Alligator mississippiensis: one gene and its partner. The protein of the gene in region 1 purifies or fractionates together with the protein of each later gene. This does not show direct contact. Links are inferred from orthologs where the notes say so. Each region holds a gene or a part of one and is shown in the gene's direction. Other genes may lie near its edges. The genes, in order: ECD and TSSC4.

What was found.
Region 2: the proteins of ECD (region 1) and TSSC4 purify together in Homo sapiens (affinity purification with mass spectrometry; 3 studies listed by BioGRID and IntAct, counting the BioPlex papers as one, with this or other methods). This does not show direct contact. The link is inferred for Alligator mississippiensis from reciprocal best matches to the Homo sapiens genes ECD and TSSC4.

Annotation. Positions count from the first base shown.
Region 1 is NC_081829.1:60,091,950-60,107,047, reverse strand, and holds the start of ECD (protein ecdysoneless homolog), read left to right. Parts: upstream 1-9,165; 5' UTR 9,166-9,202; coding exon 9,203-9,392; intron 9,393-9,954; coding exon 9,955-10,072; intron 10,073-10,881; coding exon 10,882-10,969; intron 10,970-11,798; coding exon 11,799-11,968; intron 11,969-13,144; coding exon 13,145-13,337; intron 13,338-15,098. Other genes in the region: primary cilium assembly protein FAM149B1, read right to left, coding at 93-235, 1,029-1,161, 2,243-2,347, 8,920-8,969. UniProt on the Homo sapiens protein: Regulator of p53/TP53 stability and function. Inhibits MDM2-mediated degradation of p53/TP53 possibly by cooperating in part with TXNIP. May be involved transcriptional regulation. In vitro has intrinsic transactivation activity enhanced by EP300.
Region 2 is NC_081825.1:188,808,052-188,822,930, forward strand, and holds the start of TSSC4 (U5 small nuclear ribonucleoprotein TSSC4), read left to right. Parts: upstream 1-8,142; 5' UTR 8,143-8,247; intron 8,248-10,748; 5' UTR 10,749-10,875; intron 10,876-11,831; 5' UTR 11,832-11,899; intron 11,900-13,597; 5' UTR 13,598-13,682; coding exon 13,683-14,702; 3' UTR 14,703-14,879. UniProt on the Homo sapiens protein: Protein associated with the U5 snRNP, during its maturation and its post-splicing recycling and which is required for spliceosomal tri-snRNP complex assembly in the nucleus.

The DNA of each region.
Region 1 (15,098 bases):
ATGATGTTTAAAATAAAAACTTTTTTAACACTAGAAATTCGGCTCTTTTATAGTTCTGTAACATTGCCAGCATTAATCCAGCAATAAAATACCTGAGATGAGGAAAACTAGATGTCCACTGTTGGCACTCTTCCTGCAGATCCTCAACATGCACACTTGCTTTCTGTTCATATAAAAGTTCATCAATTTGTCTGAACATCTGCTGGACTTGTCGTGTGGCAGCTTTGTCGAATTCCTTGAGAAAAAATGTTATCCAGAAAAGGTTAACAAACAAGATTTGAGGTATTTTTTGTAAAGCAACTTAAAGTGAAAAAAAAAAAAAGCATTTGTTTAAACTTTAGCAGAACTGACCTAAACAATAGGGACCTCTCTGACATATGGACACATAAGATCATCTTTCCACTGGAGACAATGCAGACTGATGTAAGTGCTGATACAATGGTACATACAAAATTTGGACCAGCACAGTCTCCATTGGCTGCTTTAGCAACAAAGATTTTGAAATGTTTGTTTTAACTAAATAATAACAAAAGAAAACTGAATGGCCATTGAGACATGGCAATTCAGGAAAAAACAGTTAGAAACATGACACATATGATCCTTCTGATCTTTTGATGATACAGGAAAATATTAATCAGGACCACAATAGTAGCAAGCATTAAAAAAACCCCAACAAATACAAAACCAAAAAACCTCTATGAGCAATACAAAAGGTTACCAAAACTTCATGAAACCAGTAGATAATCAAGAGCCAGCAAGTGATAAACCTCCTCATGTTTTGAAAGCTTTAACCTAAGAATACTGAATCTATTATTCCTAGATATATTCTGAGCAAACAGTAAGGAAGAGTCAGAGGGAGACTTAAGAGAAAGAGCTTTTCTTCTCCCATGACTAATACTATATCATTATGCAAGGCTCTCATCTTAACTTTGAAAGCTTGCAAAATGTACTCACAATGCTAATTTAACTTAACACAATGTTTCCATTATCTTTCCTGTATTTAATATGGAGGACTGTGTTCTACTCACATCATAGCCCCAGGAGAAGACTGAGCTGCCTTCAGTGGAGGTGCCTGCGTAACTCTGGCTAGCAGACCATGAGTTCCCATTGTCAGCTGATGTAGTAGCTGGGCAATCTGAATCCTTCAAGATTTCAGGCTCACTAAAATGCCGATTATGCAGGGAGGAGGGGAAAAAATTCTTATAGGCGGATAAATAAATTAGAGACATTCACAAGTAGGTAAAGTACTTTTTACTTTGTGTACAGAAAGGGATATGTATCACAGCTTAGCTCTCAAAAGCCCTTTCTGTGTGATAAATATTTAATTTGCAGGCATTTGAGCAGACACCACAGTGCACATATGCCCATCTAGCCCAGACCCTGACATAAATTTACAAAAGTAAAAAAGTACTTGGCTTGGCTTCAATGGTACATAAAGGCTGCAGGACTGATCTCTTAAAATTCAAAGTCCAAATGTTATTTTACTACCCTTCTACCTTTGATTATGTAGATAAATACTAGTTCAACTTTGTTACCTCTCAAAAATTACTCTCCCTAACTCTTTTTTATAACATAAAATATTCAGTCTACAACATTTACAAGTCAATGACAAAACAGATTTATTATCCATATTGAATATTATTCCAAAATGGATGTGCTCCTATGCGTATCTACTAGGTCTTGAAAAAAGTACCACATCATCCAGCTAAAATGAACCCACTAGTAAAGTATAGAGTCAATGTCCTGGTAAGAAATAGTAGGAAGTCATAAAGAAGCAGGGCTGGAAAGGACCTCAGGAGGTCATCAGGGGATCCAGTCCCCAGCTCAAGGCAGGATCATCCCTGTCTGGAGCATCCCAGCCAAGCCTGGGTTAAGCTGCTGGAAAAGGATGAAAATGTTGGGATGAAATTGTCTCCAATGGCTTCAATCTAGGAAGCAGTGCCATCCAGACAGATCCCTGTGACTCTCCTGTGTCCCATTTTCAAGAGAATTTATGCAGATGCAAAGGTCTGAACAAACCATCTTATTGGACCGAGGCCTATGGTACTATCTTTGGAAATCAAGCATTAGTAATGTAGTTATGTTGCTGATGATGTAATCTCAAGCATAATTTTTACAGATATTTTACTTGCTTTTATAGACATAATTTTATCATTTTGATATCTGAGGACAGAATCGAAAGATGTCTGTTTATCTTATTGCCTTCAGACAAAAACAAAGTGTCTGTTGCTATTTCAGATACCTTGAAGCTTCTTCATAACTTTCAGTGCTTGGGATAGCTGAATAAATGTCATCTAGTAGTTCTGGCAGGGGATGTTGTGCTAAGGCATTTTTTGTAAGTCTCCGTCTAAAACAAAACAAAAAGCATAGTGTGACTTGAGTTGTGACAATAAACCTCACAACTCGGAACTCCTTCTAGGGCATAAAAGGATCCTACTAGCTTTCAAGAAAAATACTGCATGCATACATAGCTGAACCTGCTTTATGTCCCCACATTAATGTCACTACACTAACGATCTATCAGTACTCTTTTACTGATTTTTATTATCATCCAAACCTTAAACTTGAGCCTTAACAAGTAACTGTTATTTGTTGTTTTTTGTTTTTTCAGATATGCTTTCCAGCCCTCACGGCTGTGGGAAAGTTTGAAAATGTAATGACAGTACCAAAAAGCAAAACAATAAAGCAAATATAAAGTACACAAACTTATTATTTTGTAAAATCTCATGACTTTTAAATCAATCATGGTTTGTGCACATCTGAACTCAGAAGGTGGAGAAAATGGAAGTTATCAGTGAAAATATAAAACTTAAGCATTGCTCTTGAAATGAGTGCTATCGCTTCAGTTTTCTCTGCAGTGGTGCAGGGTTCTACCTAAAATTAAACAATGCAGGACTGCAGCCTCGGTTTGCCTCTGACATTAATTTGTGAAAGTATAGTGCCAAATTCCTTAGTACTATCCAAGCTGAAAGTTATTAAAATATCTTTGTTTTTACATTTAATTCGTCAGGTGGTATCACTGTAACTCTGCCACATAATCATAGGAGATTTCCCTAACAGATTGGATGCTGGAGTAAATGTTATCTCCAATAGTGACTACTATCAAATGATTTAGGACAGTGGTTCTCAACCTTTTTGCCCCACTGGCCAGAAGAGTGGCCCAAAGCTGGTCCACAGGCCAGACAGAGCCCCAGATGCCAGGATCAGGCCTTGGAGGCCAGTACTGCTCCCCCTCCTCCCCCACCCACAACTTGCCCTATGTGCTGGGATTGGGCCAGTAATGCTAAGTGCTGACATTTTCCAAGGTGTGCCTTGAATCTGATGAGAAGTGCCTTGAGTCTGATAAAGTTGAGAACCAGAGGTCAAGGGTAACAGTGCTGCAGTTAAGGTGACTGACCTGAGCACAAAATGGATGCACAAATGACTGCGCAAATCTATGCACAACAGGTACCTTTTGTCACTACATTTCCAAGGGCACTCAATATAAGTTAACCAGCTGTTGCTACGGACTCACCCCTCATCTTCCATGCCTTTCCTGCCCTGGGATCTGCTTTTGTGGTTCCCTCACCTTAGCATTTTGTTGCTGCCTATGTCTGGCTGAGAACTCAAGAGTTAGTCAGTAGCTTAGATTCATATTAAGTGTGTCATTAGCAGGGATCCTGGTTTTCTCTGATTAAAAATTGCAAATTCTCTGATTAAAAACCCCAAATCCATGATAAAAATTAAAGGCCCCCCACAACACTGCTGGTGCCCTGCATTCCCCCCCCCAGTCTCAACAGTCCTCCTGATGCCCCTTGCAACAGCCCCCCAGCCATGCAGACACTGACACCCACCCCAGCAGGTAAGTGTGTGTTGGGGAAAGGGGCAGAGCGGGGGAAAGGGAAGGTGCTGGGGGGGTAGATCAAAGGGGGGGGTGCCCCTGTGTCCACTCCCAGGAGGAGGGCCAGGGGTGAGGGCAGGGGTGCCACTCTGCGGACCACACACATGCCGGCTGGCTGGCCTGACAGGAGGTTCGCACATGGAGGCCGCCACCGCAAATCTGCCACTGCACCCTGCACTACCATCCCACAGCCACCTGCATGGCTTTGTGGGCAAGGGCGCAGGGCGCAGCAGCGCAGTGGCAACCACCATGTGTGGGCCACATACGTGCCACCCAGCCGGGGGGTGAAACAGGGGGCTTCCATGCAGCAGCATGCCCTGCAACTGGCTGCACAGCTCTGCGGTGGTGCAGGGTGGTGGCGGCGGCTGAATGCAGGGTGGGGGGGCTCTGCAGGCAAGCACTGCCATCGCGGAGCCATGCCCTTTGCCCCAGGATCATAGAGGTAAGTGGGGCATGGGGGCTGTGGTGCAGGGCTGGGGAAGATGGTTGGGAGCTGAGGAAGCGGGGGTGCTGCCGGCCCCAGGAAACACACCACAGCTGCGAGCAGAGCCAGGGGGTGAGGCCAGGGGAGCCCCTATGCGTGGGGCTTTGCAGGCAAGCGATGCGGGGCACAGTGTGGTGGTGTCCGCCATGTGCGGGCTGCACACATGCCGCCTGCCCAGGGGAGGGGGAGAGGGAGGCTGGCATGCAGCCAGAGCACAGCTCTGTGGCTGGCTCTGCAGCCACGGTGAGGGATGGGGGCGCGGAGGGCGGGGGCTTGCACGCGGCGCTGCTGCTTACCTGGAGGCCCGTGTTGGCGATGACAGCCGCTGCCTACAAAACTGTCCGCTGCCGCCGCATAGCTGTGCCTGGAGCTGTGCAGCCGGCCACTTGGCGGCAGCAGCAGCGTGGTGGTGGCCAGGCAGCAGGCTGCCATCCCCACCACCATTCTGCACTGCGCCACTGCTGCCGGCCGCACAACTCTGAGCATGGCTCTGTGGCTGCAGCAGGTTTTGTATGCAGCACCCGTCACCTCTGTCCCTCTATGTTTATCTCTGGCCATCCATCTGTCTATCTGCCTAGATACCTATCTATCCGTCTTCATCTATCCATTTATCTGTCTCTCCATCTATCTCTACCCTGATATTTCTATTAATCTCTCCATGTATCATTTAGCTATATGTATCTGTCCCTCTCTATCCATCTCTCTGTCTCTATTGCCCTCTCTCTCTCCATCTAGGTATCTGTATCTAGTCATCTCTATATCCATCTCTCTGTGTCTCTATGTACCTATATCCCTCTTTCTCTATCCATCTATCTCTATCTCCCTAGATATCTCTATCCATACATCATCTACCTATGTCCATCTCCATCTATCCATCCATCCAATGAAGCAGACCATCCAACTATCTCTATCCATCTCTATCCATCTCTCTCGATCTCCATCTACCTACATAGATATTTCTATTTATCTAGCCATGTATCTAGTTATCTGTCCATCTAGCCAATGAACCAGTCACCTATCTGTCCGTTTCCATAACCCCATCCACCCATTCATCTGTTCATCCAACCATCCATCTCCATAACCCCTGTCCATTCATCCATTCCTTACTCCTCTCCACACACCAACCGTATAACCCTGTCTACCCATCCACCCACACATTCATCACCTCTATTTCTCTCTACCTACATATCGCTATCCCTCTATCCATACACCTATCATCTAGCCGTCTGTCTCTGTCCATCTCCACCTCTCACCATCCCTGTTCCTGCTTTCTCTCTCTCTCTCTCTCTCTCTCCCCATCATCTCTCTGTTGCCCTGTGGTGCTCAGACCCATTGAGCCGCCAAATGGTGGCAGGGACCCAGAGCAGATCCTACCAGTCCCCTGCCCCCCCTCCCACTCTATTCAAGCCTGGTGTCCAGCTCAGCCTGGGGTGCCCAGCAGCATGGAGCAGCCCCCGGCACTGGGGAGGGGAGGTTGCAGCCCAGCTGGGCCCAGATCATCCTCACCTGGTGGCCTGGACCCAGAATGGCCTCTGACCCCTGCCAGGTGCAGCTTCTGGGGCCATGGGGGTCTGGGAACTGGAGGGCACGGGTTTGCTGGGCAGATGCTGTGAGTAACAGCAGGACATGCACACAGAACCCAGGCATCCGGGACACGGATACTGGGACGGACACACACACACACACATACCACTCCCAGGTGTCTGGGATATGTGCTCAGAACCCAGACCTCTGGGACACCCCGCCCCCCCAGCATTCAGGACACACAACCTGGGCATTCGGGACACACACACATGCATGCACGTGCAGAACCTGAACATCCAGGACACACACATGGAATCCAGGCCTCTGGGACAGACATACAGACAACACCCAGGTTTCTCACCCCCCCCCCCCCAATCTCTCCATATATCATCCAGGCTTCCAGACACACATATACACACACACTATGCACGCATCCTGGACACACACATGCATAGGACCCGGGTGTCAAGGACATGCACACACAGTACCCAGGCGTCCAGGACACAGAAACAGACACATGCTCACAAAACCCAGACATCTGGGACATGCGCACGTGCATACACACATGCTTTCCCCACAGCAGCCCCTGTGGCAAGGTTTGAGATCCCAGGGACGGGTGCACCAGACACCCCCACCCCAGGCTATGCAGCCTGTCCTTCCCATCTCAGTGTCCCCAGGGCTGGGGGGTCCCTGCAGCACCACAACCCCCGAGGGCAGGCCCCAAGCCTAGCTCCTTGCGTCACTGGGGCTGCCTGAGGCCTGCCCAGTGGGGAAAGAGGAAGGGACCATCAGCCAAGATTCAGAGCATCTCCGGGCTCAGCCCTACCTTGCCCCCATGCTGGCGTCTGCCCCCCACTGCTGCCCCGGGACATCACGGCTGCCAATGCCAACGTGTTATGGCTGCCATCACCATCATTGTGGCTGCTGAGTAGGGCAGAGATGGCCCATGGCTGGGCTACTTCAGCCTTGGTGCCCAGGAACCAGCCGCCCCCCGCACCCCAGTTACTCCAGCTCCTCTTTCACCCTACGGGGTGGCGGCAGTGGTGGCGGCTGCTGCCACTTACCTGTGGGGCCGCCTGCGCCAGCAGTGACTGCCGCTGTGTACAAACCCCCCCCCCCCCCCCCCCGATGCCACTGCGGAGCCATGCCCAGAGCTGTGCGGCCGGCAGCAGCAGCACAGGGTGGTGGTGGGGATGGCTGTGTGTTGCCCAGCCACCACCACGCTGCCGATGCCACCCAGTGGCCGGCCGCACAGCTGCAGGCATGGCTCCGTGGTGGCAGCGGGAGGTTTTGTAGGCAGCGGCTGTCACCGCCATCACGAGCCTCCATGTAAGAGGCAGCACCGCATGCGAGCCTCAGCGCAAGCTCCCGCCCCCATCCCTCACCGTGGCTGCAGAGCCAGCCAGGGAGCTGTGCTCCGACCGCATGCCAGCCTCCCTCTCCCCCTCCTCCGGGCAGCCAGCAGGGCAGCATATGTGCAGCCCGCACAGGGCAGGCACCACCATACTGCGCCCCACTTCACTTGCCTGCAAAGCTCCTCGCAGAGGGGCACCCCTGCCCTCACCCCTGGCTCTGCTCCCAGCTGTGATGTGCCACCTGGGGCCAGCACCCACAACTCCCTCAGCCCCCAACTATCTTCCCCAGCCCTGCCACAAGCCCCACTTACCTCCATGCTCCAGGGGCGAAGGCTGAGTGTGGGCCTAAGCCCAGTCTTGGCTGCTTCAGAGGCTCAGGCCCCACCCTTCCCCCTCCCCCTGGACCAAGGCTGGGGGTTTCCCGTCCTTTTTGCAAATCAGCTCTTGCAGGCTGGAGCTGTGCCAGCCTGCAAGAGCTCTTTGCAGAAGTGGAGAATCCGCGGATTTCTCTGCTAAAAAGAGAAATCCGTGTTTTCTGCAATAAAAACAGGGAATCCGTGATTTTCTCCATTTTTCCGTGGGAAACAGAAAACCCGGATCCCTGGTCATTAGCCAACTTTTCCATTTGCCACAGAAAAACATGGATTTTCTCCTTTAAAGTGTGTTTCCCTTTGCAGGCTGCCAGAGTTCCAGCCTGCAAGAGGCTGTTTGGGGCCAAAGGGAATGGGATGCAGGCTCACATGCACAAGGCCAGCAATACAGCCAGGCAGTGGTGGAGAGCAGCTCCCCCAGCTACCTGCAGGTAAGTTTATGGAGGGGGCATAGGCGACACGTGAGAGGGCAGGGGGGTCATAGGCAATATTTGGTGGGGGGCAGGGGGGCAGACTGAGGTGGCCACAATCTGAGGGAGGGAGAATCAATCACAGCAAAACATGGATTTGGGAGGTTTTAATCAGAAAACTTTGGATTTTTTAATCACAGAATTTTGGATGTATAAGCAGAAAAGCAGGATCCCTGGTCGTTAGGCTATCCTTGGAGTACTTTCTTAGGCAACTCCCCTTTTTGTCCCTGGACACCTTCTACTGAACAGGAGCTACTTGGACATTCATGCGTGGTCTGTCTGAGCCACATGCCCAGCTGGGCCTTCATGATTAATGCCTCAATAGACATGAGGTCAGCAGAGTTTATCTCTCTGATTGTTCCCAAGTCAAAAATATGTCCATCCAGGAAATTCCTTCCTAATCTCTGTATGTTAAACAACTGGTTTATCCCACCAAGTGAGAGGGATACTAATCCACCTAACTTTATCCTAGCTGCCCTGGCTGAAGATGACACCTAATACGCTAGTACGCCCCAGGTGCTGTCCAACCAGAAAGCTCCCCAAGCGCTTCACACGTCAGGGCCGCGGTGTCAAGCTGTAGGACGCGGCGGACGCGTGCTCTGCCAAGGCACAGACGGCGCCTGCGGTCACTAAACAGCCCAAGACACTTTTCGGAAGTCAGGAGCAGTTTATGCCCGGGCCGGGGACTGCAGTCTGCCGCCCAGAGCCTCCCCTGGCGGAAGCCTTGTCCTGCCCGCCGGACCTCTCCTACCCCAGAGCAAGGGCACAAGGCCTGTTGAGAGGCCGAGTGGGGCAGCCCACGGCTGGAGCCCCGGCCCGGCCCCACCTCACTCACGTCTCCAGGACGTCGGGGGGAACCGGCTTCCGCGTGTATCGCGAGACCATGATCCGCCACCTCAGCGTGGCCCCCGGCGCCGCCCGCCGCCGCCTCCAGCCGCCATGGTGACGCCCCACCCCACTCCACTCCACCCCACCCAGGCGCTGGCGCTGTCGCGCGGCGATGATGCAGCAGTGCGCCGGGCGCGGGACTATTGCGTTGGCGGAAACCCACCCCGCATTGGCCACCAGCCGTCGCGTGACCCCTCGGGGCGGGTTAGGTCCCCGCAGCGGGCTCGACCATGGAGCCGCTGTGGCGGCGGGCGGAGGATGCGGTTCGCTACCAGCTCTTCCTGCTGCCGCCGGGCGCTGAACAGGGCGAGGACGCGCTGCCGCGCTGCGCCGAGCGGGTCCTGGCCCGCCTTGCGCCGCTGCTCGTCTCCTACGTGTGGCAGCGCGAGCCCTTCTCCCTGCGCGCCCGGCCCGCGCGAGGTACGGCCCCGCGCCGCTCTCCTGGGGCCGCCGCCGCGTGTCCCCACGTGGGAGGTGGCTCTGCATACCCCGACCCCTCTGCCCCCCCGCCGGGGCACGGCGCACGGTTGCTCCAGCTGCAGCTGGGCCGTGCAGTGGCTGTTGGGGTGCCGCTCCTGCTGCTGCTGCGCGGGGCTGGAGCAACCACTGCTGTGTGCTGCCCTCGGCTGCAGTGGGGCCGAAGCCCTGCCGGAGGGGGGGCAGCGTGGCGAGTGGGGGCAGAGGCAGTGCGGAGCAAGCAGAAGCTGTCACGGTAACCCCGGCTCCGGGCTGGAGTTGGAGCTGTAGCTGCCACCTGCCTTTCCACTGGCTAGTACTTGAATCTAAGACAAGCTCCCCCCTCCCCCCCACATGTTAAACAGAAGATTTGGGTAAATATGGTTTGATTTGCTGAACTACTGCTGTAATACTAATACTAAGCCTTCAATCCCCATTCCCCCCAACCCCTTGTGAAATTATGAGATAAGAACATGGTTTGGACTAAGGAGGAGGTCACTCAATTTCTGTTCTTTTTTTTGTCCAGGTGGTGTTCCTGCACATATTGGGGGTGTGACTGAGTTTGGAGATAATATTGAAGATGAATGGTTTATTGTGTACCTCCTACAGCAGATAACAAAAGAGTTTCCAGAGCTAGTAGCAAGGTATTCTTAACAAAGCAAACTCAATTTTATTATTTTTTGGTGAAACTATAACCTGAGACCTAAATCAATTTTTTTCTTAGTGATAGCTGTTGCCACACTGTTTTACCAGGATAGTCCAAAGGGAGTGGATTAATAATCCCCATTCAGCATGTACTAAATTTTTAGGCATGTGCTTTAGTCTCTTTAAAGTTAAAGCTAAGTAAGTGCTTTGTTACAAGGCTTGAGGGAGGGTACTGATTTTTGTGTTTTGAATTTCAAAGAATCAAATTGTTACATAACAATGTTTTGTAGCCTTTCTTCAGGGAGAGATGGGCTAGGTGTGCCATCTAGGGTGACAATAATGTGTATAGTGCTTGATGTTTCACAAACTTCATAGGTCATTTTATATTCCTTTAATCTTTTTCTTGAATTTTGGAAAAATTGTACAGCACAATAATATTCTGACCTCTTCCTAATATAAGGCTCAAAGTACGGCTCTCATTCCTGCTAGCTACATGACTATAGAACGTTTGAACTGAATTAAGTGACATTATACAAGTAATGGAAATACTAGTAGATTCTCATATAAGAATGTGCAAAAGAAAATCTTAGCGCGTCAACAGTCTGAGGAAAAAATTATTTGCCCTAAAAAAACTAAATAACTGAAATCATTAAATATATAATAGTTTCTGTCTTTGGTTGGGAGGATTTACAAAGGAATAAAAAGAAAGAAAAGATAATGGAGCCTTCTGTTACTGAAGTAGTAAATCATTTAGAATAGTTGTTGTGTTATACAGAGCCTTTTCTAATAAAAACCTAATTTTGGGTAGGCTTGATGACAATGATGGTGAGTTCCTATTGATAGAAGCAGCTGATTTCCTTCCAAAATGGTTGAACCCTGAAAATAGTGCCAATAGGGTAAGTAAAATTTTCATTCAAATTAACTTACTGGTGTATTGAGTTCAGTGCAGTACCCTCTTATTTAGTAGGCTTAAAATTCAATTCCAACTTAGAACAAAAATAAAACTAGTTAAGTAGCTTTATTTTCTTGCTTCTTTCACAAATCTACAACTTGCTGTTGTTTGTAAAGAGTCTGATAATCATCAGCTTAATCTCTTTGATCATGGTCTAGCACAGGGATTGGCAACTCCTGGCACACATGCCAGAGCATAGTATTCAAAGGCGTTTTGCTTGACATGCATGCCTCAGGGCAAATGGTGGGGGAGCCACGAGGGGCCCTATCCTTGTGGCAGCGGGGCTGCTTGAAGGTTGGATCCAGCTTGGGAGATGCTGCAGCTTGAGCTGCAGCTCGTGACATGGCATGATAAGATCACAGCAGCTCCAGCTCTCACCATGTACCCTCTGGATCCAAAGCTTCTATCGCATGCACCACACCGTGATGGCATTTCTTAGCTCTGGCATGAGGCAGCAATGGGGGTGGCAACCATGGAGCTGGGGCTACAGCAGTGGAGACAGGCTAAGTAGCTGGAGGGTTTTTGAGGCTGTATCAGCCCTTGCTCACCGTCCTGCCACCAACTACCACATCCACTGGGGCCCAAAAGCCCTGGATGCTGCAGCAGGCCAGACCCTTCATTTGCCAGTGGCCCACCTATAAGCTGGTGAGCTGGAAGCAACTCCATGAGCTGAATCTGTCCCATAAGCCATATGTTTGACACCCCTGATTTAACAGATAACTTATTAGTCTATATGCAAATGTGCTCCTTTCTGATGTGACTTTTATATTTAGGTGTTCTTTCACCGAGGAGAATTGTGCATCATCCCACAATCAAAGACTTGTGGAGAGGAGCCTGCCTCCAGTCCAGCAATTCCCCAGGTCTTAGCGCTGTTATCTGCACATTTAGAGGAGTTCCGGGCTGCAAAACCTATTAGAACAGCAGTCTATAAACGCATAAGTGGGTGAGTGGACTGTTTTGGGTTGTTTGGGGAGGGAAGAGGGGGGGTTGATGTTCTTTAAGTGAATGCTTTGATTCTGGGTTGTCTAGGGCACTTATTTCCTAGTATCTAATCCATTTTCTTGTCAACTACAATGAGATTTGCCACTTTTCCAAAAACTAATAGCTAGACTTTTTTTTCTGGGACATTCTTTCTACTGGTAAACCCACCTGTACGCACACAGGTGGTATACTATATTCTTATTTGAGGGTGTTGAAAAACAAAGGTACAGGGCTAAAATTATATCATATGTCTGTGTGATTTTGGCTTTTCTTAATTGTTTGTAAAAGGACAGCTGTGACTTGTCAGTCTTCCTTGCTGGCAGTTTGAATACTTCCATTGGTATGCCTAAAACGGTCAGCAAGGGTCACTGGTTTGGTAACAGATTCCTTCTCGGAATACTTTAGGCTTAAAAAAGACTGCAATTAGATTCTGTTGTTTAATATTAAGGAACTGTAAGCTAGATGATTAGGCCACTTCACAATAAAGGACTTATCAAATTGGAGGGAGAGACTTAAACCTCTCAAAGTCTAGCTATACTAGTTTTGTAAGTATAACCCACGCTGTATGTTGATTAGTTTTCTAACTAGAGATTCTAAAGTATAGTAAAAGCTCTGTTATCCGGCATCCACCAGGAATGGGGGATGCCAGATAACAAAATATGCTGGTTAACTGAGCGACCCGAACAGTCATCCTTGCCTGTTCGGGCCGCCGCTTCTCTCACCACATCTGGGGCGTCGCTGTCCCTCCCACGACATCACCGCCCCTCCCGCAGGCCCTGTGGGCCACGCAGGACAGGGAGGCGGGCCCCCCGCAGCCTGTTATGCCCCCAGGCCATGGGGGCTCTGCAGCGCAAGCTGGTTTCCCACCAATCATGGGGTCTCGGAGAAACCGGAAGTGCCACAGTGGGCACTTCCAGTTTCACTTTTCCTTACAAGCTGGCATGCCGGTTAACAGAGCATGCTGGCTTGTAAGGGGCCGGTTACCGAAGATTTTACTGTAATTTGTAAATGTACATAATGTGCACACACATTGTTTCCCCTTTTGTTGAATATCTGCATAAAGAATATCTGGTCATGTTTGTAATATTTCTTTTTTTTTTTTTTTTTTTTTTACATGTTATATCATTGCCTGAAACAGATATCCTGACAAAATCAAGGCCTCCCTTCACCAAGCCCACTGTTTCCTTCCAGCAGGCATTGTGGGAGTGTTGAAGGAGCGCCCTTCTCTGGTTGCTGCTGCAGTCGAGGCCTTCTACTTGCGAGATCCCATTGACTTAAGAGCATGCCATCCTTTCAAAATTTTCCCTCCAGACACGCGTGTGATGAGTTGCGTAAGTGATATTTCTGCTGGTAACCTATTCTGTCTCGTGACTGACTGATTTGTTATGCTGTTTCTTTGATCATTGTGTTAGGAAAATGCACAGCTTTCAGTTTTAAAAATAGTACATTTCTGATTAACTTTTCTTGAAAGCATTCATAAGTTTCTACTTATTTAAGGTATTTTAAGTCTTACTACTTGTACTCACTGTGGAACTAGATTATTAAAAGCAGATGAGTTTCTTTTCTTCAACAAAATAATTCTGAAATGATAGAAAAGCCAATTTAGAATTGCTTTATTTTGTTTTGAAACATTGCTTTTTAGTTCAGGTGGCAGTCACTGAAATGCTGGATGAAATGCACAGGTAGCCCTCAACACTTGTGATCATTGAATAATTGCACAGTAACTGACTCCATTATTCTGACCAATTTTTTTAATTGGGCATTTGGGGCATTGAAAGCTTTTCTCTGTTATTATGAAAGGATTTAAGACCAATTCCAAAACTGCAGTGATTTAGGCTTTCCCATCTGCAATCTCAACACCTTTGGTCTTCAAAGAACTGACCAGTGGCATAGTGCTGTCCTTCAACTTCTAGCTAGCTAGCAAAATGTAAGCATTTCCTTGTAGTGTTTAATGTGTATGCTGTAGCTGTAACTGCTACAAAGGAGGTACTTGGCTACTTGTGGAAGGGGAATTGCTTATTAAATCCTTGTATTAAGATGTAGTCATTATCTGCTACCTTGCTGGTGCATTCTGCCACAAACTTTAAGGATCCAGTTTGAAGGAATTTAATAAGGCAACATATTTCAATTTTAATTAAGAAAGGGTAAAAAGCAAGCAAACATAAATGGTCATTTCTCTTTGAGCATTTTTTCCTCAGTTCCCCCTGCCCCCCCAACACCCTTTCTTTCCACATACATCCCAAAGTAAGCCATGTATGTTAGGACCAGCTCCAGCAGACATACTTCCACAGCTGTACAACTCTGCCACTTTAGCTGGAAGACAACCAAAGGTTTTATAGAAGGTTGCAATACCCAGAAACTTTTATGCAGAGTAGAGGAGGCCCTCCCTTATCTCCTTTGAAATTGACAGCTTTTTAGACAGTCAGGTTTTCCTTACTCCTAATTCTGTAGAACAGTGGTCACTAACTAGTAGCTCTCAATCTACCAGTAGATCTCAGAGCCTCTTGTGGTAGATCTTAGAGTCAATCCGAGGCTGGGGTGGGGGGCTGAGTGCCTATGTGCATGCACAAGTATGCTCCAGCCCAACAGGTCAGTCTGTGGGGAAGAGAAGAGACCGGGTCTAGATCAAGGCCCCCGCGGTGAGGGGCAGGGTCTCAGAGGCAGGAGCAGGGGTAAGTTGAGTGGAGCCCCAGCCAGGTGGGACTTACCTGCTGGGGAGGCGTGCCCCTAAATAATTTGTTCTCCTTCTGCCTTGATCCCCACCCCACCCCTGCACTTACCTGCTGGGCAGGAAGAGTGGGGGGGTGCACAGTAGATCTTGGGTTGCTTTTAAATGCCAAAGGTGATCACCTACTTTAGCAGTGGTCTCCAACCTTTTAGAAGATTCATCCTATCATAGTCTACACTATGCAGAATTTTGAGAGTTTCTAGGATACAGTGTTCTTCAATAACTGACGTGGATTTTGTTTGTGTTGCTCTTGCCATCATGTGGCCCTATTTTAATAATGAGCAGGATGGAAGTGATGCCTGCATGTATCTCTCTTTTAAGTCTGCGTTCTCAAGCATGAGTGCCTCAAATATTGATTTAAGAG
Region 2 (14,879 bases), on another chromosome or scaffold:
TGCAACAGCGCAACTTGGAATGGTGCAGCCATTAATCTGTCATGTGTCGATTCACTGAATGATGTATAGCGAGCCCCTTCGTCCATCGAATGTTGCTACAATGTTTGTGTAGTGAGCCCCTTGTCCGCCAAGTGTCGCTGCAATTTGCGTGTAATGGTATTTGTGTGTAATGAATGTTTTAGGATGCCAGGTGTAGCTGCAGAACCCAACATAAATCTATCTTCTGCTGACCTCTTCTTCTTATTTTATTAAATAAAGAATTCAAAGAAAATAATCTGTGCTTGTCCTCTCTTATTTCACTTGGTGTGGTGGGTGTCCTAAAGGGCCCCAGGGTGTGTTGGCAGGGGTTGCAGATTGGGGTGATTTCAGGCTCTTTTGGAGATCAATCAGTGTGTGTTGTATCTGCTCCCGTCTGTATTATTGGGGATAATGCAGTGTGTGGTGTACCCTGAGCCCCTCAGCACAATTAGAGAAATACTGCACAGCAAAGCGTGCTATTGAATGCTGGTCGCCTAACTTGGGGTTTATGCTGTGAGTGGTGTCATGAAACCACTCAATGGAATAAAAATGACCTGTGCTGGCAAAAGGTGTATCCTGCTCCTTTAGTTCAGGGTTCAGGGTTACTGCACAGAATTAATAATTGATCGCCTGCTTTATGTGGGCTGCTGAGCATGGTTTTATTAAAAGCAGTAAGCAGTCACCCAGTCTCAGGATGGAGGATACTAGCCTGCAGGCATCATAGAATTTTTTTTTGGTGTGCAGCCCCTGCTCCCTGAAGCCGACCTGCAGTTCCAGGAGGGTGGACACTTTTCCTCGTTTGCCCTGGTGACTGAGGTTTGAGGCACAAATCAGACCCGAAGCTTGTGCCTGCCCCACACCAGGGAGAGGGCAGGCATGCTCCTGGGCAGGCAGTCGTTTGGTCTGCCAGGGGCCCCCAGAAGCAGTGTCTTGACACATGGGTCACTGTGTAGCCTGTTGTGCCATTCATTGACAGGGATTTTTTGGGGTGCAGGGACAGTGCAGTGGGGCTTTCCCCATGGCTGCTGTGCCATGCCTGGTGTAAAGAAACCTGACCCTGGTAGGCAAACATGCCGCTGACTGGCACCAAAAATTGCAACAGGGTGGGTGAGGGCTGGCCAAGTTGGGTGGGTTCTGCTCTGAGCATTTAAGACCTAATAGGAGTTGAATGGGTCCCCAGAGTTCCCTTGCTGTCTGGACAGCTGTCCAGCTGTCTGTCTTTGCAACAACAGGGGAGGTGAGGTGAGGTCTGGCTCTGTTTGGTGTATTCTGCTCTGAGCATTTAACATCTAATAGGAGTTAATGGGTTCCCAAAATTCACATCACATTGAAAACTGGGTGTAGGGAGATTTGGGACATTTATGCCTGCAAGATTACTTGGTGGTTCTGGCACCTTGATGTCTGGCCTAGCCCTTGATGTGCTAATAGGATCTATTCAAAAAGAGCATGGGGACCTTTTACACCCACATTTCTTCTGCTGGGTTGGGGGTGTTTGCTGGGGTGAGACTTTGTAGAGGGTCTGTTCATTGTTCTACTAAGTCAGGGGCGGGCAATTATTTCAGGCGGAGGGCCGCTTACTGAGTTTTGGTAAGCTGTCAAGGGCCGCATGGGTAGCCCCGTCCCTTGACAGGTGCCCTGCCCTCTGGTTGCCATCTTGTGACCAGAAGTCCTGCCCCCTAACTCCTGGCCTTTGCCACCAGAAGTCCCTCCTTTTGCCCCGAGGAATACTCCTTTCAGCAAGGGGTTTTACCATCTCAGAACCAGAAACATACCAAATTATATTCTAAAAATCACACATCTAAAACATAATTTGATTTAAAAAATAAGTTTTTGACCTGGCTTACATGTGTTTGTGTAGTGTACACAGAGGTGGTTGTATAATAGCTGAAAATGAAGTCTTACTCTTGTATATTGTGGGAGGGGTGGGGGGCATGGGTATAGGTTTGTGGGGGACTGTTAATGTATGGGGATGTGTGGGGTGAGAGAGCATGTGTGTGTGTGGATATTCATAGATTCATAGATGTAGGGTTGGAAGGGACCTTGTAGATCTTCTAGTCTGACCCCCTGCCCTGGGCAGGAGAGAAAACTGGACTTAAATGACCCCAGCCAGGTAAACACTGAGCCTCCTCTTAAAGACCCCCAGGGTAGGAGCCATCACCACTTCCTTTGGAAGTTGGTTCCAGATACTAGCCACCCTGACAGTGAAGTAGTGCCTTTGGATGTCTAGTCTAAACCTACTCCCTAGCAATTTATGGCCATTATTCCTTGTTACTCCAGGAGGTGCTTGGGGGAACAAGGTCTCTCCCAAACCCCACTGGTCCCCACTAGTGAGTTTATAGAAGGCCACCAGGTCCCCCCTCAGCCTTCTCTTGTAAAGGCTGAACAGGTTAAGGTCCCATAGCCTCTCCTCATAGGGTCTGCCCTGCTGTCCCCAGATCATGCAAGTGGCCCTTGTTTGGACCCTCTCAACCCTGTCCACATCCTTCCTGAAGTGCGGCGCCCAGAACTGGATGCAGTACTCCAGCTGCGGCCTGACCAGTGTCTCATAGAGGGGAAGGATCACCTCCTTGGCCCTGCTTGTGATGCATCTGTGGATGCAGGACAAGGTACGGTTAGCCCTACCGACAGTGTTCTCAAATTGTCAGCCCATGTTCATCTTGGAGTCAATAATGACTCCAAGATCTCTTTCTGCTACCGTGCTTTCGAGAAGGGAGTTCCCCAGCCTATAGGTATGCTGCTGGTTCCTACTGCCCAAGTGCAGCACCCTGCACTTGTCAGTATTGAATCCCATCCTATTTTCATTTGCCCACCCCTGTAACCTGTCCAGGGCCTGCTGTAATCTGTCCTTCCCTTCTAGTGTGCCCACCTCACCCCAAATCTTGGCGTCGTCTGTGAATTTAAACAGCTTGCTCTTCACCCCATCGTCCAAGTCACTAATAAAGAAATTGAATAGTGCGGGCCCAAGGACAGAGCCCTGGGGGGGACCCCACTGCCCTCTTCCCTCCTGCAGCATCTGGCATATCTCATGTACTACCATCCCGGCTGTGCAGGGATCCATGCCAAACTGGTTCCCAATGAAGTGGAGGCTGGTGGGAGTGGCCAGTTTCATTATGGCCATGGCCACCCTCTTTTCTGGTACAAAGGGGTGATTCATGACAGTATTCGTGCATGATTCATGCAAATTTCTACTGGGGAATGTGCCATGCATAGCAAGGAGCCCAGAGTGCCCTGGAGTAGGTGCATTTCAGGGGTGGGAAAAATGCGGCCCGTGGGCCACATGCAGCCCACCAAGCCATTCTATCCGGCCCACGGGGCCCCTAAAAAATTTAGAAAGTTAATATTTATCTGCCCCTGGCTGCCCGTCATGCGGCCCTCGATACCTTTCCAAAACTCAGTAAGCGGCCCTCTGCCCAAAATAATTGCCCACCCCGATGTATTTGCTCTCAGTTGGCGTAGCTGACCTGACCTGTGCCTCCTCTATCTCATCTGGGAGAATGGTCTCTGTGAGCTGTAGGAGACACTGGAGATACTGAGACTGCTCTAGGTTATGCACAGTCCAGCCCCACAAATGGAGAACGGTCTCAGTGTAGGTGGTCTCAAGTCCCTCTTATCATCCTTTCTCCCTCCTTCCCCTGGCCAGGATATAAGCAGAGCACAGCAGTAACAGACCTGTGAATGCAGCCCCAGTTCTAGAGCAATATCAATGGAAGAGACATGCCACTGAGGAAAGGATGCTGTTCTTTATATGAACCCCTGGCTCTGTGTCCCTGTATTCTTTTAAGATATTCAGAAAGTATCTTCCCTATTGTGCCTTTTGCTCTGGCTACAGGAGAATATCTCTTGTCCCTTTCTTGCTTGCTTTGAAAACAATCTACCCTCTATGACTATTGAAGACAGCTTGACCAAGCTTATTTTGATGTTTATTCAGTGAAGCTGACCCAAGGCATGAGGAGATTTGGAAAATGTATCTAATTGCTTGCCAGACCACGCAGAGCTTGGAAGCTAGCCCTTGCCTGGAGCACAGTCATGCTGTTTGCTCTCCTTCCCAAAGGTGAGTCTGGGTCCTACCCATTCCTTGATGGAAGAATCCTGGAGCTGGCACTTCCATGAAGGACTTCTCAACACTACCTGGGGATGGCCCCATCATTTTTCTCCCCAGGGGCAGCTGGAGTGGTTGATTGACAGCCTCTCGCCCCTGTTGCTTGTGGATGGGTCTCACAACAGCAGAAACAGGAAACTTCAGCAGCTGTATAAGGAGGGAGGGAGGGGGGCTCTTAGCAAAGTGCTAAAGCTGTGTGGAGGGAAAGGCTGAATGACTGGTTGCTCTGCACTGTGCTGATGTATTTGAGGGTGGGAGCACCCAGTATGCAGGGGTTTGCGTGAGCTTGTCCGCTTATTCTGGGCTACAGCCCTCACACCACAGGGCTGAGGACCAGCAGGCATATGCATACGCCTCTAGGGGATATGATCACTTCCTCTGCAGCTGTGCAGGGCTACTTCTCCTGAGATCCCCTGGGCTGTGATAAAACAACCCCTGAAGAAGTACTCAGAAAACACGGCTTTTTCGTTTTGACAGTTTCCTGCGCTGTTGCCTAGAATTGTGTTTCCATCCTACCAAGCTGCCTCCGCTCACACGAGCTAGAAGAAATTGCTTTACCATCTGTTCATCTCTGAGCCCTGACTCACTATTTTTATTTTGGTGTCGCCAAGCAATTGCAAGAGCCCCAACACGCCGCCAGCACAAACTGCTCTGCCACCAGCCTCTAGGAAAAACAAATCTAGCCTTAATGCCTCGCAGCACATGGGCCTTGGTAGCAACTTGCAAGGGCGGGGAGGGCGACATAGACTTCACAGTGATCTCAGCCCTCAGGCAGGCAGGAAACACAAGCCATTAAAAAGGGAACTAAAGTGGAGCACAAAAGAAGTAAAATATCTCCTGATGGTGCATGGCCCACAAGGCACCTGGGTGCTGAAGGTGGCAGTGATGGAGAAAGGTCTCTTCACGCCTCTGGCCACTTTGGCACCTGAACGAGGACTGGAAAACGGTCTCTCTCTGATTCCAGTGAAACTCCAAATCCACCTCGCCATGTGATAGACGGCTTGTGCCTGATCTTACAAAATGGGACCGGCTGCTGCTTTCTCCCCTGCTCTCTTCCTGCCCTTTCCCATCCACACTTTAGAGTGCATCACCTGCCATGCTCCCAATACTACCCTCTACTCTGCAAATAGATTTTTTTTACCCTATTCCCTTAGACCGCACCCACTGTTTATTCTTTTCTTTCCAATGATGCTCTTTCTCTACCCACCCAACCCACCCATACACTGCTCCCTGTTGAGCTCCTAGGTGGTACCCCACAACCCTCTGCAGCCCCTGGGAAAGGCCGATCCCATGAATTTCCATGCTGCACAGATCTTTGAATGGGGAAAAGCCTGTATTAGTGTTGTTTTAAAACTCCAGCACAACTCTGGCCAGATGAAAGACATTTTGTTCTAACCTTGCCTGTCATTGCTGCCAAATATATTCCAAACACAGCTCTCTGGTCATAAATTACTGTAGTTAGCAACACTCCAGAAGGCTGTGATATATATTTAAAACCGACAATGCAAATGAAATGGCTGCAGTTTATATTATGGATGACTCATAATGAGGCCCCATTTTTAAAGGGATTCAGCCAGATCTTTTAGGCCACAAACATAACCTGCCTTTAACATCACACATTTTTCACCAACGCTAGAGGTGAAGCAGTGTTTGGAAGCCATGAGGAAAGGTATCTCAGCAATCCCTGAGGCAGGTAAGCTTGGAATACAATACAGCTCCTGTCCCAATATGATATGCTGGCACATGGCACAAACATACAGCTTTTGTTTATATGTAGGCCCCTAAGTAAAGGCCACATTGTTTCTGAGTTATCTATCCAGTGCTGAGAAAACTAATTAAATAAAAGCTTTTATTCCCTACATCTTGTTTCAGAGCCCACTGACCTCTTCTGAAGGACTCACTCTCACTTTCACTGGCTTAAATCAGGCCTATACAGTGATGTGTAACTGGGACTAAAGGGACCTTAAAGCAAATCCCTAGGGACATGGTCTAATGTCATCGCTGGCTTTGCTCCAGACTGGTCTTGTGTTAAAGACTTTGGGCCAGACTGTTTATGGGCTGGCTGGAAGCTAAGGGCCTTCATATGAGGGTGTCTCCCAAATACTGTCAGACTTACTGCCTTTCTGACCCTGCCTAGAAAAATCACCTGAGGCAGCTTTCCTTCATCCAGATTTTAGCTATTCAATGCCACATCTCTACTAGCAGGCAAGGTTATTTGGGTAGATGTGATATCTTCTTTTGCAAAAAATGGTCTTTGCAAGCAAGCTTTCAGGAACAAACACCTTTCTTCAGGCATCGGGAGACTCTACTGGTGTCATATGTTCCCCAAGGTAGAAAAGTGCTTGTGCCTGAAAGCTTGCAAAGAACATTTTTTCCAACTATTTAGTTGATCTAATAAAAGATATCCCACCTACCCAAAGAACCTTGCCTGCCTATGTCCTTAGACCAACGTGGCTACAACCAACAACCCTGAAATAGCTCTACTGGGGCCCCTGCTGCCAGTCATGCTAATATAGCTGTTGTGGCAGCAGCGCCATACTGTAGCCCAGTCTAGGCTGGACCAGCTAACTGTGTTCATCTAAACAGCACGCTACAGCAATAGTGTTAACTAGGATGAGGTGAGCAGGGCACCACCCCCAGGCGCCAACTATGAGAGGCTGCCAAAATCCATCCACCTCCCCTTCTGGGAGTCCTTGCCTTGACAGGGGAAGCCCCTAGGCGGCCCCTGCTGGGCCATGGGAGCTGGGCAGGGCAGCACTTCACCCATCAACATATCTAGGGGGTGGGGGGCGAATGGGACAGGTGGAATGGTTCTCCCCTGACCCTGGGGAGCCTTTGGCAAAGCAGCCCCAGCCCTACTCCCAACATGTATCAGGGTTGGGGTGGGTGGGGGGAAGCAAATAGGACACCCGGATCTGCTGGAGGAAGCCTGGCCACAGCAGAGCTCGCACTGCTGACACTGAGAATCTGCAGCGCTAGCCCAGGCAGGTGTGACCTCCCTTCCCCTTGCCCGTGCCATAGGCACCCCACCCCCCACCTGCCGCCATCTGTGTGGCCAGCATACCCTCACCCTCCACCCCGCACCGCCCGCCCCAGGCGTTCAGCGAGCTTGCTATGCCACTGCACTACATCCCTGATGGTCAGAGCTGGCCATGTTGTGCAGCCCCACGGTGGCCAAACTATCCTCCTTCATTTTGATGGTAGAGGTTTATTTCTTCCCCCCTGGCTCTCCCTCCCTGCATGCCTATAGCAAAGCCATGATGGGTGTGAGTGATCTCAGATGAGCCACGCTTGGCTTTGTATCCCACTCCCCTCCCACCTCTAAAAGCAAGAGGCATGTTGACATCTCCTTCATCTAGCAGAGAAAGCAGGTTGGGAGATCAAGTGTGGCTTGCCACAGAAAGCTCTTGCCCTGCTCCCAAGAGGGGGCCTGGATGACTACATGATCTCTGGGCAGCCCTCCATCCCTGCTTCTCTACGACTCTACACCCAGAGACGGCTCGTGCTAACCTCCCCTGCGGTTGCTAGTGCCTCACTTTCCTTCTCCCTCCGTAAGGGGCTGCTCTGATGCTCCTACCCCACACCCCTCACGAGGAACTAGGGAACGCTTGCACCGGGGACCACAAGGCTGCGGATTAGAATGCTACCCGCATCCCGACCTATCCCGCGGCGGTTTACAAAATACAAGCACCTAATTGGCTGCAGTCTACCTTCCACCGCCCCGCCCCACCCCACCCCATTGGTGTAACAGGGCGCGGCGACGAGAGCGGCTAACACCGCGGTGCATTATGGGGGCCGCAGTCCCTTCCGTGCGGGGTGGGGCGGGGGCAGGCTCGCCAAATGTCCCCCGAGAGTCCGTGGACTACAACTCCCAGCAGGCCAAGCGGAGGGACGAGCTGCCCTTGCCCTTTCCCCCCTGCCCTGCCCATCCTGCCGCTTGTCCCCATGGGAGCTGTGGTTCGGGGCGCCTGCCACTTCCCGCGCCTTGCTAGAGCTTCCGCGGGCGGAGCGGACTCGCTTTCCCAGCTTGCCCCGCGCGGACGGTGGCCGCCAAGGGCGCTGAGGGGCAGGGGCCGCCCCGGAAGGAACGCGACCGTGGCGCGGAGTGGTTGGGCTCGAGCTCCGCGGAGGTACGCGGGGCTGCCGTTGGGCTCGCGCGGGCGGGGGGCAGGCACCAGGGCACGGCCGTTGTCCACCCCCCGTTGTGCAAGGGGGCGGGGCGGGGCGATGCGGCGCGGAGCGGCCCGCGGAAGGGCAGATGCGGGGGCAGGGCAGCCCTGTGCGCGCGTGCGCAGTGTTGCGAGGTGCGCGATCATTAGCCTCTGCGTAGGATCATTGGAGCTCTCGTATGTTCAGTGGTAGTAAAAGTGCGCGAAATGTAGGGTAATTGTTGAGGCAGCAAATGCAAATCCGAAGTCGCTCTCAGGGAGTCTTAGATGACACCTGGGTTTGCTGTCAGCCCTAGCCTCCAAATAAAGAAATGCTTCGACTTGAAGTCCTTGCTGACTCACCGGCGACTTGCCGTGAGCAATAGGAAGTCGAGAAGAAGGCTTATTTGCATAGTTATTTGCATATTTTTGCAGCGGACAATAGTTTTTCAGCAAATACGATCGTTTTGAGCTTCCGATACAACAATTTCATATTTAAGACCTGGCGATGCTGTGTGCACAACAGCATCACCCTCCTTAGCCCACCTCCTCCTTGTGGCAGGGAGGGGTGGGCTGTGGGCCTCTCATGCCCAGGTGTGTGCACGTGTGTGCCTGGGTGCACAGGCAAGGGTGTGCATGGGCGTGTGGTTGTGAGAGACCCTGCGTGTCCGCCCAGCCCCTCCCCTCATTGCAGATGGGTCTCATTGCTGAGGGGGTCTGGGCACTTAGCTTCTTTGCACTTAGCCCAGTGGTTCCCAAACTGTGGGTCATTATGCCAGATGGGGTTGCGAAATCAGGGTTACGGGGGTGGGCGGCTCTGGGTTGGGAGTGAGGGGTCATGCTGAGCAAATGGGGCCATAAATGGGTTCATGCTGAGGAAAAGTTTGGGAAGTATCTCCAGAAAGCTTTACGTATCTCTGTTTCCCCTGGCATAATGAGGGCCAGGCAAGCACAGCAGCCGCCCCTAGCACTCGCTTTGTGGGGGTGGGGGGTTCCTCCTCCCTTCTTCCCAGCAAGGCAGAGCTGGGGAGCACTGTGCCCAGCAGTGTTTCAAGAGGGGGAGAAGGGTGGAGTGACGCCCCCTTCCCCTGGGAGGCTTCACCAAAGGGGGTTCAGCCCTGCCCGTGGGGCTAGGGGGTGAATGGGGCCCTGGGAGCTCATGCCCCTGCCCACAAATCGGTGGCAGCAGCGCAAGCTCCTGTTCCTAGGGGATGGGTAGCTGCCTCAAGTGAGGAGAGCCCCAGCACGTCATACTGCCCCCCATCTGCCCAGCAGTCAGCATCATTCTTCCCCCCCCCCCCCCCCCCCCCCCCCCTTAGGCCAAATGAGCGGCCTGTGGTCCATCCATGGGCTGGGTATCAGACCCAGCACGTGCAGTGCCTGCTTCGGCCAGTCTCGGACCTGCATTGCACACACTGCATGTGGTGTGGTCCTAGGACCAGCCATGCAACATAAGGTCCAAACCAGCCAGAGTGGGCATCAAATGTGGCATCAGATGTGGCACTCATCCCAGGCCCTGTGTTTGTGGCTGGTTCAGTGCTTGGTGTGTGTGGGTCAACTGCAAGTCCCAGGGGCAGCATGGGGGGTGGAAGGGGCAGCTGATGATACTTCACAGTCCATCTATGGCTCCCAGGCCATATCTTTGACACCCCATAATTAGTCCATAACAGTGATTCTCAAGCAGGGTGCTGCAGCATCCTGAGATGTTTTGAGAGTCCTTTGAGGGTGCCATGGGGTGCCACGCAATGGTAGCACTGTTAGGTGTGCAAACACAGTTCACAAGATAAACTTGAGGATTCCAATTTGAAACCTCCAACATTAAAAATGTTCTGACCTGTTGTGAAATTATTCTTTGCAGCTGAATAATTGCTCTTTGATCTTTCCTGTAGTCAAAACACAAGTGAAAGCTAAGAGCCAGAGTTTTCCAAGGGGAGAGGGGGGCGGGCCTTGGGCCTAACGAGGGATGCCTTGTGTCTAAGAAGGCGGAGAACTACTGGTCTCTAAGCTGCAACGCTACCCTGTGTTCTGGCTGCCAGTGTGGGAGAGCAGATTGTGTGTCCATCCCTGGCTGCAGGGTGGTACCTCTGCCAGGATCCTCCTCTCTATTATGCTGATAGTACCCATCTGATGTCCATGACTTCCTTCTAGGGTAGTCCTTTGCTCAGTGGACTATAGGCTTCCTATCTGCTGACTGGCAAGGGCTTACAGTAGTGTGTATTGCAAATGCCAGCGTGTGGTGAATTGGTCATTGTGTGTTCATTCTGGACACCAGAGTGGTTTTATTGTGGTGTGAATGCCAAGGTAAATTATTTCAGAATAAACCATGACTTGTGTTTGCATAGTTATATGGCCACCTTCACTAAGCTTTACAGTGTTAGCGTAGCTGTTGTCCAGTCTCTGCTCTTTCCCCTTCTGTACTCAGTATGGTGATAAAAGGCTCATTGCCCAAGTGTGGAGTGACTAACTCTTGGACCCCTGTGCAGGTCACAAGTGATCCAGCAGAACCCTGTTAGCTGAGACCAGGATGGAAGAGTCTGACGGGGACCTATCCATTCAGAGAGGTGCCGTCCTAGCTGAGTTGTACCATATTCGGATCACCACAACGAATTTGTGAGTCTGTCTGGGGAGTAGGGGTCACTGCTCGAGCACGATGTTCTCCAGAATTGAAAAGGTTCCCAGGGTCCCAACACAGGGTCCCAAAACAGGGACTGTTTTGTTACCAGTCCTGGAGTGTTAGGCAATTTAATTCACCAAAATGTAGTCAACTATCACCCTGGCATCAGTATGAAAGCAGGCTATATACAGGTAGACTTACTGCCACCCAGTCGGCCACCTGGTTCTGAGGGATTGTTGTTATTTTTACAAAAGCCGTTGATCCATATGCCATAGCTTTAAAGACAGAATGGGCAGGATTTCAGGGGCTCCTATGCTTTTTTCAGGACTTGAATGGAACCAGGTTTCAAAACCATCTATCAGCTTTCTTTGTGACAGATTGCCAAATTTCCCATTGAGGTCTTGTGGGGAAAAAAATCTATCACGCTATTCTGAAGACTAATCACTTACACCTTTTTATAATATCTGCTGCAAATTGGGAGTGTAGAATTACTTTGAAAATCCAGTCCTGTTCTGTCCTTCTGTCTCTTTCCTGCAATGTTCAGTGCTTGTGGTTATTATCCTTTATTAGTTATAATCAGTTACTCTTGGTAACCACAATGATGGTGAATTCCTGATCTCTTTTTACTTAGCAGAGTTTCATTCTTAATCATTTATAGTGTAAACCACAGAAAAAATAATACATTTGTGAATTCTCTTTCTTCCCCTCAAAGTTCATTCGAAGGGAAGTTAGCATTAATCTGCACACTGATATTAAGTGCTGAATGGATTCAGTGGTGTCTGTTTTAGCAGGATTTACAAAGTTCTTTTCTGAAATATCTGCATGGGGATGCCTCAAAAAATGTGCCAAGTTTGCCTGTTAAACTCAGGTTTACTTTAAATATATATATATATATATATATATATATCTATCTATCTTTATCTTTATCTTTATGCAGATGTTTGTTTTTCAGGGTTCAGGAGCTGAGATCCTTGGTGGCTTTAAATGATTCCCAGGAAAGAAAACTGATTCAGTCTGCTAGTGAGTGACTAGCAGACATTCCATGTCTATTTAATGTGGCCGTTAAGGAGAACTTATTTGAATAGTTTAGATTATTTTTTTCCTATTTTAAAATTCTTACAGTATATTGGAAATATTGCCCTGATTCTAGATATCTTTATTGCCTATGCCATTATGCATAGTATTTTATGAATATAGCCATTATGTTAGAAGGTAGCTTTACAAAAAGAGTATCTGAGTTGTGTATAGTCTTGAAACTCATAGTGATGCTAATATACAAATGAGAGCAAGCAAAAGGAGAATTTATGTTGCATCAGTTCTCCAGTATAGAGGGAAAAAATGTGTGTCAAATGGAAAAAGGATCATCAATAAAGGCTAGGAGTGATTCCATTTTTTATTTTGAAATAGAAATCAGCTGTGCCCTTTTGTTTGCCTATCTTTTAACACTGTTCTTCTTTGCTAGATTTCTGGTTCTGTCTATTTGGAGACAACTGGTTGGAGCACACAATGTGAGGCATGCCTGTGTAGCGAGGGATCTGGTTTCAATTTGTGCTCCTTCCTGCCCTATCTTTCCTACCTACAGAAGCTTTCTTTCTTTCCTCTTTGTATAGAAATCTCTTATCTCCATAACTCTCTTTCTCAAAGAGAGCTGAACTAAGGTACACTTAGCCACTAGCAGCTCTGTTTGCTCAGCGAGCAGGGGTGTTCAGATTAGAAGGCAGAAGAGTTTTGCACCTTATGCACTAACCAAAGCAGATATATAGCACAAGCTTTTATGGGCTGAAGCTCACTTCATCAGATGCTGTGCTAACCAAAGTAGTCCTAATTAACAGGGCCAGCTGCATCTCTGGCTTCAGATTAACCATCTTCACCCTGGCAGAGATCCTGCAAGCAAATGATAAGTGAATTTGGGGTTCAAACCTGTACTTCAACTCAGTAAGACATGATGTCATATCTAGGCCACTGACCTTGGTGTGTTGACAATGTCCTTATGATAAACAGTTCATTATCACCTGTCCTGTAGAATTTGGGGAACAAAAAGCATGCTGGTAGCTCAGGAATACAAGGGAGTGCCTGACAGAATGCTGCTAGGGCTTGGGACATGTTTCCATCCATTAATCCTATAGGATAAATATTGAGTGTGACCTTCAATTATTGCTGAAGGTAAACAAACCAATCTGGAGGAAGTGTTTAAGAATGTCATGTGATATTCAGGCTTTTTCAGAAGCAACATACCTCAGCATCAACTAATGAACAAGATCTGCAGTTTTTAAGCAAAACCAGCACACAGGTTAGAGGATTTCTAAGCAGCCCTGTATGCTGGAAAGTCAGTCTTCCCTGAGGATTAGTGCAGTAAAGAATATTTTTTAGTTTAAACAAGAATTGCTTAGGAGTCACTCAGGTCACGGAATGGGTACAGGTGCCTAAGGTTTCCAGTAGTAATGCATAGCATGGTCTGGAATGTCTATCACGTACAACATCAGTGGAAATAATGAGAGTCAATATGTTGGTTCAAATAGCATAATGGAGGCCAGGTTGCTTTTCAGCTCTAAGTGTAACGGGTAGTCCTTATACAGTGATTCTTCTCTGTTTCATTTTTTAGCACTATTTGGGTCAAGTGTATTCTTTGGGCTTGGACTGCTGCAATGGTAATGGGGATCTCTTGGGATTTGAGTCTTATTTTGCAGTTGAGTTTATATTTGTTCCTTCTTACGCTAGGCTTTAAACTCATTGGACATTTGGAAGGCCTTATTTGCTGCTGCTGAACCTAATCCAGAGACTGCAGTTGAGTGACGACTTGAAAATGGAAGATAAAGGTGCTGGCGAGCCCTTTATGGGTATAATTGCCAGTGAGGTTGCTGACTATGATGGCATTCAACCCTCAGACACAGTGTCACTCAGTGATTCAGACCCTGAAGACTTCGGTTTAGCAGATGAAGCTGAAGTTGATACAATATCTCCAGAGGAATCTCTGTCTTTGGATGACGTGGTTTGTGGCTCAGGTGAGAATCCTGAGTCTTTAAAGATCAACCTCAAATCGCCTGTCCAGCCATTCCACCTAAAAGGCATGAGCTCTACCTTCTCCATGCGCAGCCAGAGCATTTTTGACTGCTTGGAAGGAGCAGCCAAATTGGCAGCACCATCATTGGCTGAAGATAACATTATCGATGGGAGGTTTAAACGCCCCCTACCCCCAGCCACTCTCCCTAGTAAGATGGTACCCGAAAGCTTTGGAAGGCAAGGCAAACCACCTCCGACTACTAAAAGCTCTCCATCAGTCCCCGACTATGTGACACACCCAGAACGCTGGACCAAGTACAGCCTGGAGGGAGTCTCAGAGTCGAGTGATAAAACCAACAGGGAGGTAGCTATGGAGTTTCTAGGGGGCTTGAAGAAGAAAGGAGGGGAACACAGCTCATCTGCCCAAGATGGCTATATCCCATATTTCAACCAGGACCCCTCCAGTTGTGGTGCTGGAAGAATTGTCTTTATGAAACCTACAAAGATGGGCATAGATAGTTTGGGAAGGAAAAGATCAGCAGGGGATGATGATAAGAAATCCTTGAACACAAAGCAAAGCTTGAAAAGGAAATCTCCCAAGAGGGCTGGTGATCTGAAGGTAGAGGATAAGGTTGAGCTGGGGCATGTAGGCTGTGGAGAGAAAAAGGCAGAGGAGGGATGCTTGAACTTGAAGGACCTGTGCAAAAAAGGAGATCCTGGCACTGGAGAAGAGGCTGTGGGGGGAACGGTAGGATTCCACAGTAGTAAAAAAAGGAATAGGAAGGTTTTCCGACCTAAAGTAGAACATGAAGAGGAGGACTGAGAGTCCTGAAACGGAAATAAAGAATATCCATATAAAGAGTTTAGTGTTGTTCTAGGAGACCACCTTTTGAAAATTGTTCTTTTCTTTCTCAGCCTAGCTTTTATCAGAACAGGAAATGGTAAGCTTTTATCTAGCATCTGTTCCATGGTTTCCAAGTATTTGGGAGTTTTTCAGAAA